Mus musculus: one gene and its partner. The protein of the gene in region 2 interacts with the protein of the main gene of each other region in a pairwise test. Links are inferred from orthologs where the notes say so. Each region holds a gene or a part of one and is shown on either strand. Other genes may lie near its edges.

Region 1 (4,816 bases), on a different chromosome or scaffold from region 2:
TTGCCTGGGGATCATCCATTGTGCAGATTAAATGACTTTCACTTCCACTCCTACTTCCTCTCAAGGAAAGCAAGAGGCTGGTTTCAGACTTGTTGCTTCTTTTCAGAATAAAAATAAAACTGCATTTTAATTTTTTTCCAGCCCTTGAATGCACTGATGTTAGAATAGAGCACTTGTTTGTAAACTCTTTAACCCCAAAGGACCATTGTAAGAAAGCTCTGATCATTAACTATGAAATCTGAAGGGTATATTGTCTACTCTCTATAGCTACCCTTCTCTGTTTGGGTCCTCTTAACAGAAGTGGGGTGTAATAAAATGAGCTCAAAATGTAACAAGAGGGACTGGGAAGATGGCTCATTTAGTAAAGTACTTGTCACACAAGCATGGGGACCTCAATTTGATGCCCAGTACCCACGTAAAAAGCTGGACATGGCAGTGCATACCTGCAATCTTAGGGCCAAGAAAGCAGCGAGTGGGAAGTCCCTAGAGCTCTCAGCCACTTAATCTTGCTGAATTGATGAGCTTCAGGTTCAGTGAGACTGTCTTAAATAATAAGGTGAAGACTGACAGAAGAAGACACCTGAACACACACACCCACACACACTCACACTCACACACACATTCACACAGAATGGAGGAGGGGCAGGAAGGGAGGGAGGGACAAAGAATAACAGAAGTGGTTGGGTTCATTTAGAAGGAGGCACATGGTTAATAATGTAGCTGAGTCCTAGGGTCTATCCTGGTGGGGATAGTTTCTTGTTAGTGACAGAAGATTTAGTCAGCACGCCTATCATGACCCCATTCCAAAGCCTGGACACTTATATAGGTGTAGTTCCCCAGATCCAAACAATAGGCATAAAAACCTCCTCCTTGGGGCATTCACTCCTGAAAGCAGACAAGTCCCTTCTCTGCTTCTCTGCTAATCAACAAAAGGAAAGGAGTCAGAGAACCTGTGTTTTGGTAATCAGGCTTCCGGGCAAGGCCTCTGGCCGGGCTAACAGCCTTCCCTCTCTCGGGTTTGGCAGTCTCTATATTTATATTGAGGACAAAATATTCCTAGTGAAAACATCTCACATCAGAGTGTCAGAGGAAGAGAGCAACAACACCCATCAGGGGGCTTTTGGAAAAGCAACACATGTGCTATGTTTTGACTAAACATATTCTCCAATGTTCTTTTTCAGATGGTTGGGTGCAGTCAGCTTTTAGACAGGCAAACGCATTAACTTCTAGGGCAAAGGCCACCTTGTGGCTGGATCTCCACTCTTGGGACGTCAGCAGGAGCTCTGATGTTGTTGGAGGTTGGACTGAGTAGACACCCCCCTCCCTGCCCTAAGATTTATTGCCGCAAAGCGAGGGTGCCTACTTTACAGGTAACTGCTGGAGATTGGATTGAGGGTGCTGGTTCTTTGCAGGAGTTGTGCCCTGACCTCTCTTGCTGTAACAGCAGATAGAAGGCTCTAGTGGAGCTAAACCTTATGAATGGGACTCTCAGAGCCTGCTCTAAGAGAAGTAGGCTAGTAGGAATACTGGGTGAGGGTGGGAAGGAGGAGCGAGGCAAACCTGACCCAGAAAACTCTCCCAAAACAAAACAAAACCATCCAACCAACTAACATCAAAAACAACGAAACAGAAGAAGGAAGAAATGACTGTGTCAGGAAACAATGGGCGGGTGCTCATATTTGCAAGGGGAGCTGAGAGGAAAGGCAGCTTGTGTGTGTGTGTGTGTGTGTGTGTGTGCTTTAAAGACAATCACATTGTTCCCCCAGCTGAAGTGTTGACATTTCTTCACAGTCACTCATGCAACATATAGGTGTCCCCCAGACCAGAGCCTATGGGCTGTGGATCCCACTCTGCCCCACCCCCACTCCCCAAAAAACATTGCTAGCTTCTCTAGGATTTCGTCTTGTTTTCTCACTCAGGAGCTGTGACTGTCCACAGTCCTGTCATTCTCGCACCTGAATGGCTCTGCTTAGCGAATTCCAACGCCCGCCCTCTTCTACAGCGAGGGGTCTGCATCCCTATCCAGGAAACTGTGGGAGGGAGCTATGAGGTAATAAATAGCCTGAGGGAGAACTACAGAACCCCCCCCCCACCCCCCGCGCACGTTCAATATCACAGACACCTGCTAGGGTTAGAGTGTTCCCCAAGTGTGACCCCGTACCCCAGTCTTTCCAAACACAGGTTGGCATCAAAAACAACACATTTCTTTTGGCTTGCCCTCTTCCCCATTCTCACCGGTTTCACGTGGCCAATTTGGAACAGCTGGGTCCCAGCCAAGCTCAATTGCTCAGTCTGGAGGCACATGAAGCCCTTGGAAATTGCGATCCTCCCTCTGAGCTGGATCACCCATCGCTGCTGGGTGCCCGGAAGTCTTTCGGAAGCCAGGGTTCATCCACGATCCCACCCGCGGGATCCCCTGTCCCTGACAAGCCCCTACCTTAGGTAGTGCCACAGGCTTCTCTAGCCTTCTCAATCGGTCCTTCCACAGTGCGGGACATCCTTTGGGTCGGCCTGCGCTAAGTGCACGGCCCCTCTTCCTTAATAACTTCCCTTCTCGTCCCAGCCCACATCAGGCTCCCCGGATTCGCCAGGACCTAGGAAGCCCGGACACCCAAGGGTTCTTCTTAATATGCCAGGCTCATTCAAGCCCAGGACACTCCTCCATACACCCACCTCATGCCGGTGGAAACCAAAATCAGCCGCAGAGAATGTGTTTAAGAGGCGCGTGCACCTACCTGCCGAGAACGCTCCTAGTGCCCGGAGACGCTTAGTACCGGGTGGCATGTACCACCTCGGCACCCACGCACCGCCCCTCGCTGCCGTGCACCTCCGGCTCCGCGGACACCGGTGCTCGTTCCTCCCAGCCAACAGGGAAAGGTCCGAGGGTAACAGTCGTGGCCCCAGCGCTCGGGCGTCGCACCAGCTGCCGCCGCGCCGGGTGAAGTTGCGGGGCCAGAGGACGCGCGGGTGGCAGAGAGCGGAGCGAGCGCGGTAGCGGAGAGGGCGGTGGGGAGGCGCGCACGCGGGGGCTGGCGCGTCACCGGTGGGGGGGGGGCGAGGGAGGAGGGCGGGTGGAGACAGCTGCTTGATGGTCCCTTCAGCCCGACTCCTTCAGGGTGCGCTTGGGTGCTTGCCTCCAGCTGATCGTCTGCCTGCACGTCAGGCTCTGGGACACTAGCTTGTGGCGCAGCTTAGAAGGACTCCGCCGCAGGGGAGTTGAGACCAGCCGGACACGGAGCATTAGAGGAGATCTCAGCTGAGACAAGAGTGCCTGTGCAGCCAGCCTTTGGGGATCTCAAAAAGGGCCGTGCATTGCAAATGATGAGATGGGGGAGGGTTGTGTGCAGTGGTGAAGAGTGAAGTTCAAGGCTCAAGGCAGGAGTTATGTTGAAAAGCCCGGTTGGAGAGGGCCTCTGGGTACAAGTACCCAGGGCTTGTTTCGACAGAGGTTTCACTATGATAGGGAGAAGCAAGACTTTTGTTTGACTTTGAAACCTCTCTTTTGGTGTGAATTTGAATTATACATAAGGCTATAAAATGTAGGTGGGTCTGACAGACAGAAACATTCCATAGAAAAAGGACCTTTAGAAGCTGAGTGTGGTGGCATTCAAGAGGCTAAGGCAGGAAGGCTGCTGTAAGTTCGATGCCAGCCTGGGTTATATATAGTAAATCCCAGGTCAGCATTGGTAACTAGGCTATTATATGTGTGTGAGTGAAGAGTATGAGGTTGGGTATTCTAAGGACCTGGAGCCCAAGAGTGGACTCTGCGTCCATCCTTAGGTTGGCAGTCTTCCAGGCCTCAGTTTCCTCCTCAGGGAAACTGTCTTACTCATACAATTGTGTATTTACAATATGTAAAATCAAAGTGTCCCACAAATTCATCCATCACATTCCAAGCTGAGACCTAGTCACTTTATGAGGACATTAGAATCAAGAAGTATAAACCTTGACCAACAAAGGCTAGGAGAGGAGTCTATGGCAGCATCAGGAAACCTGGACATCCTTAGACCTGGAAAACGCAAGCAGCTGAATCACACCCCACCTAAGGATACAGCCAGACTTCAGGGATCACCCAAGGAGGAGCACTGTACAGGCCTCTCACCTGGACCACGAGGCCATGGCTTGAGAGGAGCTCAGACAGGCTACCCTTGCCAGCTGCATTCTCCAATGCCCTTCTCTCAACTCAACACACTCCCCATCAGGAAGCCACCTTCCCATGTGGACATTCCTTCCTAGGAGGAAAGCGTCGACTACGACTACACATGTGACAGCTTAGCACACAGAGGGCAAGCAAGCTCTCTGTGTGTTTCCTCATGGGTGTTCTGCTCAACAAGCAAGTCCCTAATGCATCAATCCGTACAGAACTAAACGTAAGTTTATGGCGATCTTCTTATCCCCTGACATTAGACTGTTTACACCTGGCTGTAACCTTTCAGTATTTTGATTCCCACTTTATAGGCAGGCAAACTAAGGTTACAGAGAGTTAGCCTAACTTGTCCAAGATGACCCAGCCTCATCGACTTTAGATGCTCATGCAAAAAAGAGACATGGCTTGTGGGGAGACATTCTTCATGGCACACCCATCCTTTGGAGGACACAGCAAAGCCGGGCTTGGATTCCTGACGAGTGGAAATTGTGAGTTAATGCTGTGTGTTCTTTTAAATGACTGTATGTTGATTTCTTAGGCAGTGATAGACAATAGTCTATCTACATTGCAGAAACAGTGGCCTTAAAAAAAAAAAAAACAACCCTGTAAACCACAATGTGACTCTTCTGTGGCTTTAAATCCTGCTTCAGTTCCCTATATGGAATACAG
Region 2 (4,158 bases):
TCTGTTTTTGTTTTTTATTCCCGAGACAGGGTTTCTCTGTGCAGCCCTCGTTGTCCTGGAACTCACTTTGTAGACCAGGCTGGCCTCGAACTCAGAAATCCGCCTGCTGGGATTAAAGGCGTGTGCCACCACACCCAGCTCTGAAGATCTGTTTTCACTCTTCTAGTAACTTACTTACACCCCTAATAGAGCAAGATGGACTTTTTAAAGGACTATGAAATCACTCCAACAAAACCACTCTCACACATGTACAGACCATGGTCTACTTGATACATGCAAATTCTCACCAATTCCATTTAAAACTGACTCAAAGGAGTCTTGAAAACATTCTAGCTGGACCTCATTACCTTATCTTTGCTAACAGTAAACTCTCAAAACCCGGTCCTTAAGAAAACCAACACACTCAAAGGCAAGGCCTAGCCAGAAAGGAACTACTTACAAAAACATGAAATTTGTTTCCCAAATATGCATAATCTGCATGGTAAAGAACCTGAAGTAACCTGGAAATTCTGATTTTAACTGACAGCACATGGAGAATAACAGAAAAAAAAATAGTTGTAGTCTAACTAGATGTATGACCTTCAAACATTTTAAGTCTCAGCAGGAATGGTGGCACACACCCAGTGATCCCAGCACTGTTCCGGAGGCAGCACTAGGAGCATGTGGAAATTAGAGACCAGCTTTATCTACAAATTAAGTTCCAGGTCTCAGGTCAGACCCAGTGTCTTTTTTTTTTTTTTTAAATTAAGTCTTAGGTCAGTGGTTCTTCTGGTATTATCACACCCACTGTTCTCTCTGCGGAGTAATAAGCCTTTCTCAAGAAAGAGAGAGAGAGACAGACAGACAGACACACACACACACACACACACACACACAGAAGGAAAGAGAAAAAAATTCCCTAAGCTCAGTTCCCACACCTACAAACGGAATTGGTTTGTAAATCCTAAAGTTTTTTTTTTCCTCCCCAGTCTAAAATACTACATCTATTGGGGGTACAATCAGTAGAGTGGATGTTCCTATTCTCCTGTTCAGTAGATTTTTGAGTAGAAGCTATGTAAGTTGAGCACTAGAGTTTGATCCCAAGTTGTAAGGCTGAAATGCAGCTCAGAGATACAGCACCTGTTCACTGTGTCCCAAGCCAACACCAAAGAGGAAAATAAAATAGGAAAAAAACAAGCTCCATATATTTTATGTCCCTAAGAAACGTCACTGCTCCGGAGAAATACTCCAAACAACATCTCAGAGTCTTCAATATTAAGACCTGATCTTGTTTTCTTAGTTTAATAATACGTGAGTCAAATGCTCAAACTAGCCAATGAAAGGTGAAAAAAACATTCCACATGGTACATACACATTTGGGCACGTGACACTAAGTGGCTAAAAATTCTCACCACATACCGCATCCTAAAATATAAGTTTTCCCCTTTCAGACTGGCATGGGGGATGTACATTATACGTGTACTACATATTATACATATATAATGTTATATATAACATGCAAAAAGCACTTATTTCAAAATATACCAGAAGACAAAACCAAATAAATAACTAATAGGTCAAAATTTAGTGATGACTATTAGAAAATACAAGTAGAACCAATTCTGGGGCAAAAAAGAAAAAAAATGGTGTCAAATTTTCCACTATCAGCTACTAAACATGAACTTTTTTTTTTTTAAATCAACTTGCCTGCAAAAAATGCAATTTTACGAAACCGACCTGAAAAGGGGAACCCATCAGTGATTCTTAATTGAAGTAATAACTTTAAGCAGAAATGCATCTATTTTGATGCAACCTCGCCAAATTATTATGTGTTTTTTCGACTGGAAAATACCTTCCCCCATAGAGTCATAACCGCTAAGATTTCAAAACAATCTTTTACTTACACAATCTCCAATAATACGGCACTCAAAACAGAAAATCCACCCAAACCCTCACTGTCTTCACCCGGTATAGAACGGGATTAATAATCCACGTTCAATGCAAAAGGCAAAATGGAGTTGTAAAAGAGTTTCTTGCCTAGTCCAACTCCCGACAGCCACACGCGCTTCGCAGTGGCAGGCTACCCCAGCGCGGTCGCGGACCGGCCGGGAGCCCCCGCCCAGCCCGGCGCAACCCTGAGAGGAAGCGACGAGGAGGGCGGGCGGCTAGGGCTCCACCAGGCCCGGCCGGGCGGGGGAAGGGGGACTGGAGGCGGCGGGGCGCGCTTCCGGGGACTGCGCGGGCGGGGCCGCCGCCTCGGGCGCGGGGCCCCAGGTCAGGGGCCGGGGCGAGGGGCTGCGGGCCGAGAGCAGCAGGTGGGGCGCGACCGCGGGCAGGCGACGGGCCGGAGGCCGGAAAAGTGCTTGCCGATCAGCCGACCAGCCGGGCCCGGAGCCGAGGCGGCTGGAGGGAAATGCTCCTGCTCACCTCAAGGCGAGGACTCCGAGTCCGGCCTCTTCGCGCTGAGGACGCTTGTCCGCGAGTCCGCGAGCTCCGAGCCAAGGACGGGCAGCTCCGTGGGAGACGGCGGGCTATGGAGAGAACCGACGGAGGACCGCGGGCGGCGGGCGGGGAGCGCGAGCGAACGAGGGCGGGCGGTGGCGGGAGGGCGGGGAGCGACGTGCGCGGCCCCGAGCGCCCTGCGGGCTCGAGCTGGCGCCAGTCGCGGCCCCGCGCACGCGCGCACACTCTCAGTTCAGCCACGATTGCTCAAGAACGCATCCACGCCCTGAGAGCTAGACGCTTAACCAATCATGGCAGACGCGTGGAGCATGACGGGAACACCGGGGCTATAAAAGAGCGAGTTGCTATTTTATCCTCACCGAATCACTCATCCTTTAAGCAAGCAGGGTGGGGCTGGGTGCGCCTGCGCGGTTTTAAAAACCCCTCCCCAAACTGCCAACACTTCGCGCAAGCGAAGTAGATCTTCCTTGCCTTGTATTACGCGTGCGCACTGACAGGCCTAACCCCGGAAGACCATACGCTTGCGCAGTAAGAACTACGGTGACAGTACTCCCGGTGGGGCGCTGGCCAGTCATGGCGGAGCCTTGGGCCGGGCAGTTTCTGCAAGCTTTGCCCGCCACGGTGCTCGGAGCGCTGGGCACCCTGGGCAGCGACTTTCTGCGGGAGTGGGAGACACAAGACATGCGAGTGACTCTCTTCAAGCTGCTCCTGCTGTGGTTGGTGTTAAGTCTCCTGGGCATCCAGCTGGCCTGGGGGTTCTACGGGAACACAGTGACCGGGTTGTATCACCGTCCAGGTGAGGCTCCCTACGAACCTCCTTGGCCCGGCTGTCCCTACCACCACCATACTGTACCATTGGGTTCTCCTGTGTCCACATAGACTACCACTGGTCCTCCAGGAGCCTCACTGTACCCAGACTTACAACCCCGTACCATTTTACACCACAAGCCCCTCATGCCCATCATCACGTTGTTAACTGTTTCTCAAAACCCTTCCTGGACAATACCACTAGTCCCTAGTATCCCAGCCTCAATCTCTATTAAACTATACCAGTGGCCCCTGACCTGACCTGGGCTATTGCCTGCTCAGATCCCCACCCTCAGCCTCCTGCAGCTATGGGTGTGTTCCTGCCTCCAGGTCTGGGTGGCCAGAATGGATCCACACCTGATGGCTCCACACATTTCTCTTCATGGTGAGTAAATCTCTGTCTATCCCAACCCCATGCTTGACAGGCAGAGAACTCTCAGCATGTGAGTGCACCAGCTTAGTGGCTGTGCAAGAATCCTTCAAGGCTAATGGTAGAGCTCAGGATTCCAGTTGGGGGTTCCCAGTGGCTTTAGAGCCTCTCATCAGCATGTTCAGTGGGGATGGATGGTGGTGTTACCTTAATTTCAGAAAGGTGATGTGCCAGGTCTATTGAAAACAAATCCCTTGGTTGGGAAGTCTTTCTTTAGGAAGGCAAGAACATCTATTCTAGGCAAGTACTGTACCACTGGAGCTATAACCCCCAGCCTAACAGTCTCTATTCTTAGCATACGACCTCATCAAGTCAACCTCCTAATCTCTAAAAACAACAGCTTACTTATCAGGACATTTCATTCAGCTAATCTCTGAGCTTCTACCACACGGCAGAGGTCACAGTACACCAGAAAACAAGGACAACTCAGACTCTGCCAGGCAGTGGTGGCGCACACCTTTAATCTGAGCACTTGGGAG

The links.
Region 1: the proteins of Rhoa (region 2) and Ripor2 interact in binary tests that used the Homo sapiens proteins (3 or more experiments, as listed by UniProt). The link is inferred for Mus musculus from reciprocal best matches to the Homo sapiens genes RHOA and RIPOR2.

What each region holds. Positions count from the first base shown.
Region 1 is NC_000079.6:24,636,856-24,641,671, reverse strand, and holds the start of Ripor2 (rho family-interacting cell polarization regulator 2), read right to left. Parts: upstream 3,025-4,816; 5' UTR 2,785-3,024; coding exon 2,736-2,784; intron 2,595-2,735; exon of another isoform or gene 2,438-2,594; intron 1-2,437. UniProt on the Homo sapiens protein: Acts as an inhibitor of the small GTPase RHOA and plays several roles in the regulation of myoblast and hair cell differentiation, lymphocyte T proliferation and neutrophil polarization.
Region 2 is NC_000075.6:108,304,802-108,308,959, reverse strand, and holds the start of Rhoa (transforming protein RhoA precursor), read right to left. Parts: upstream 2,801-4,158; 5' UTR 2,407-2,800; intron 2,164-2,406; exon of another isoform or gene 1,884-2,163; intron 1-1,883. Other genes in the region: Tcta (T-cell leukemia translocation-altered gene protein homolog), read left to right, coding at 3,016-3,238, 3,532-3,634. UniProt on the Homo sapiens protein: Small GTPase which cycles between an active GTP-bound and an inactive GDP-bound state.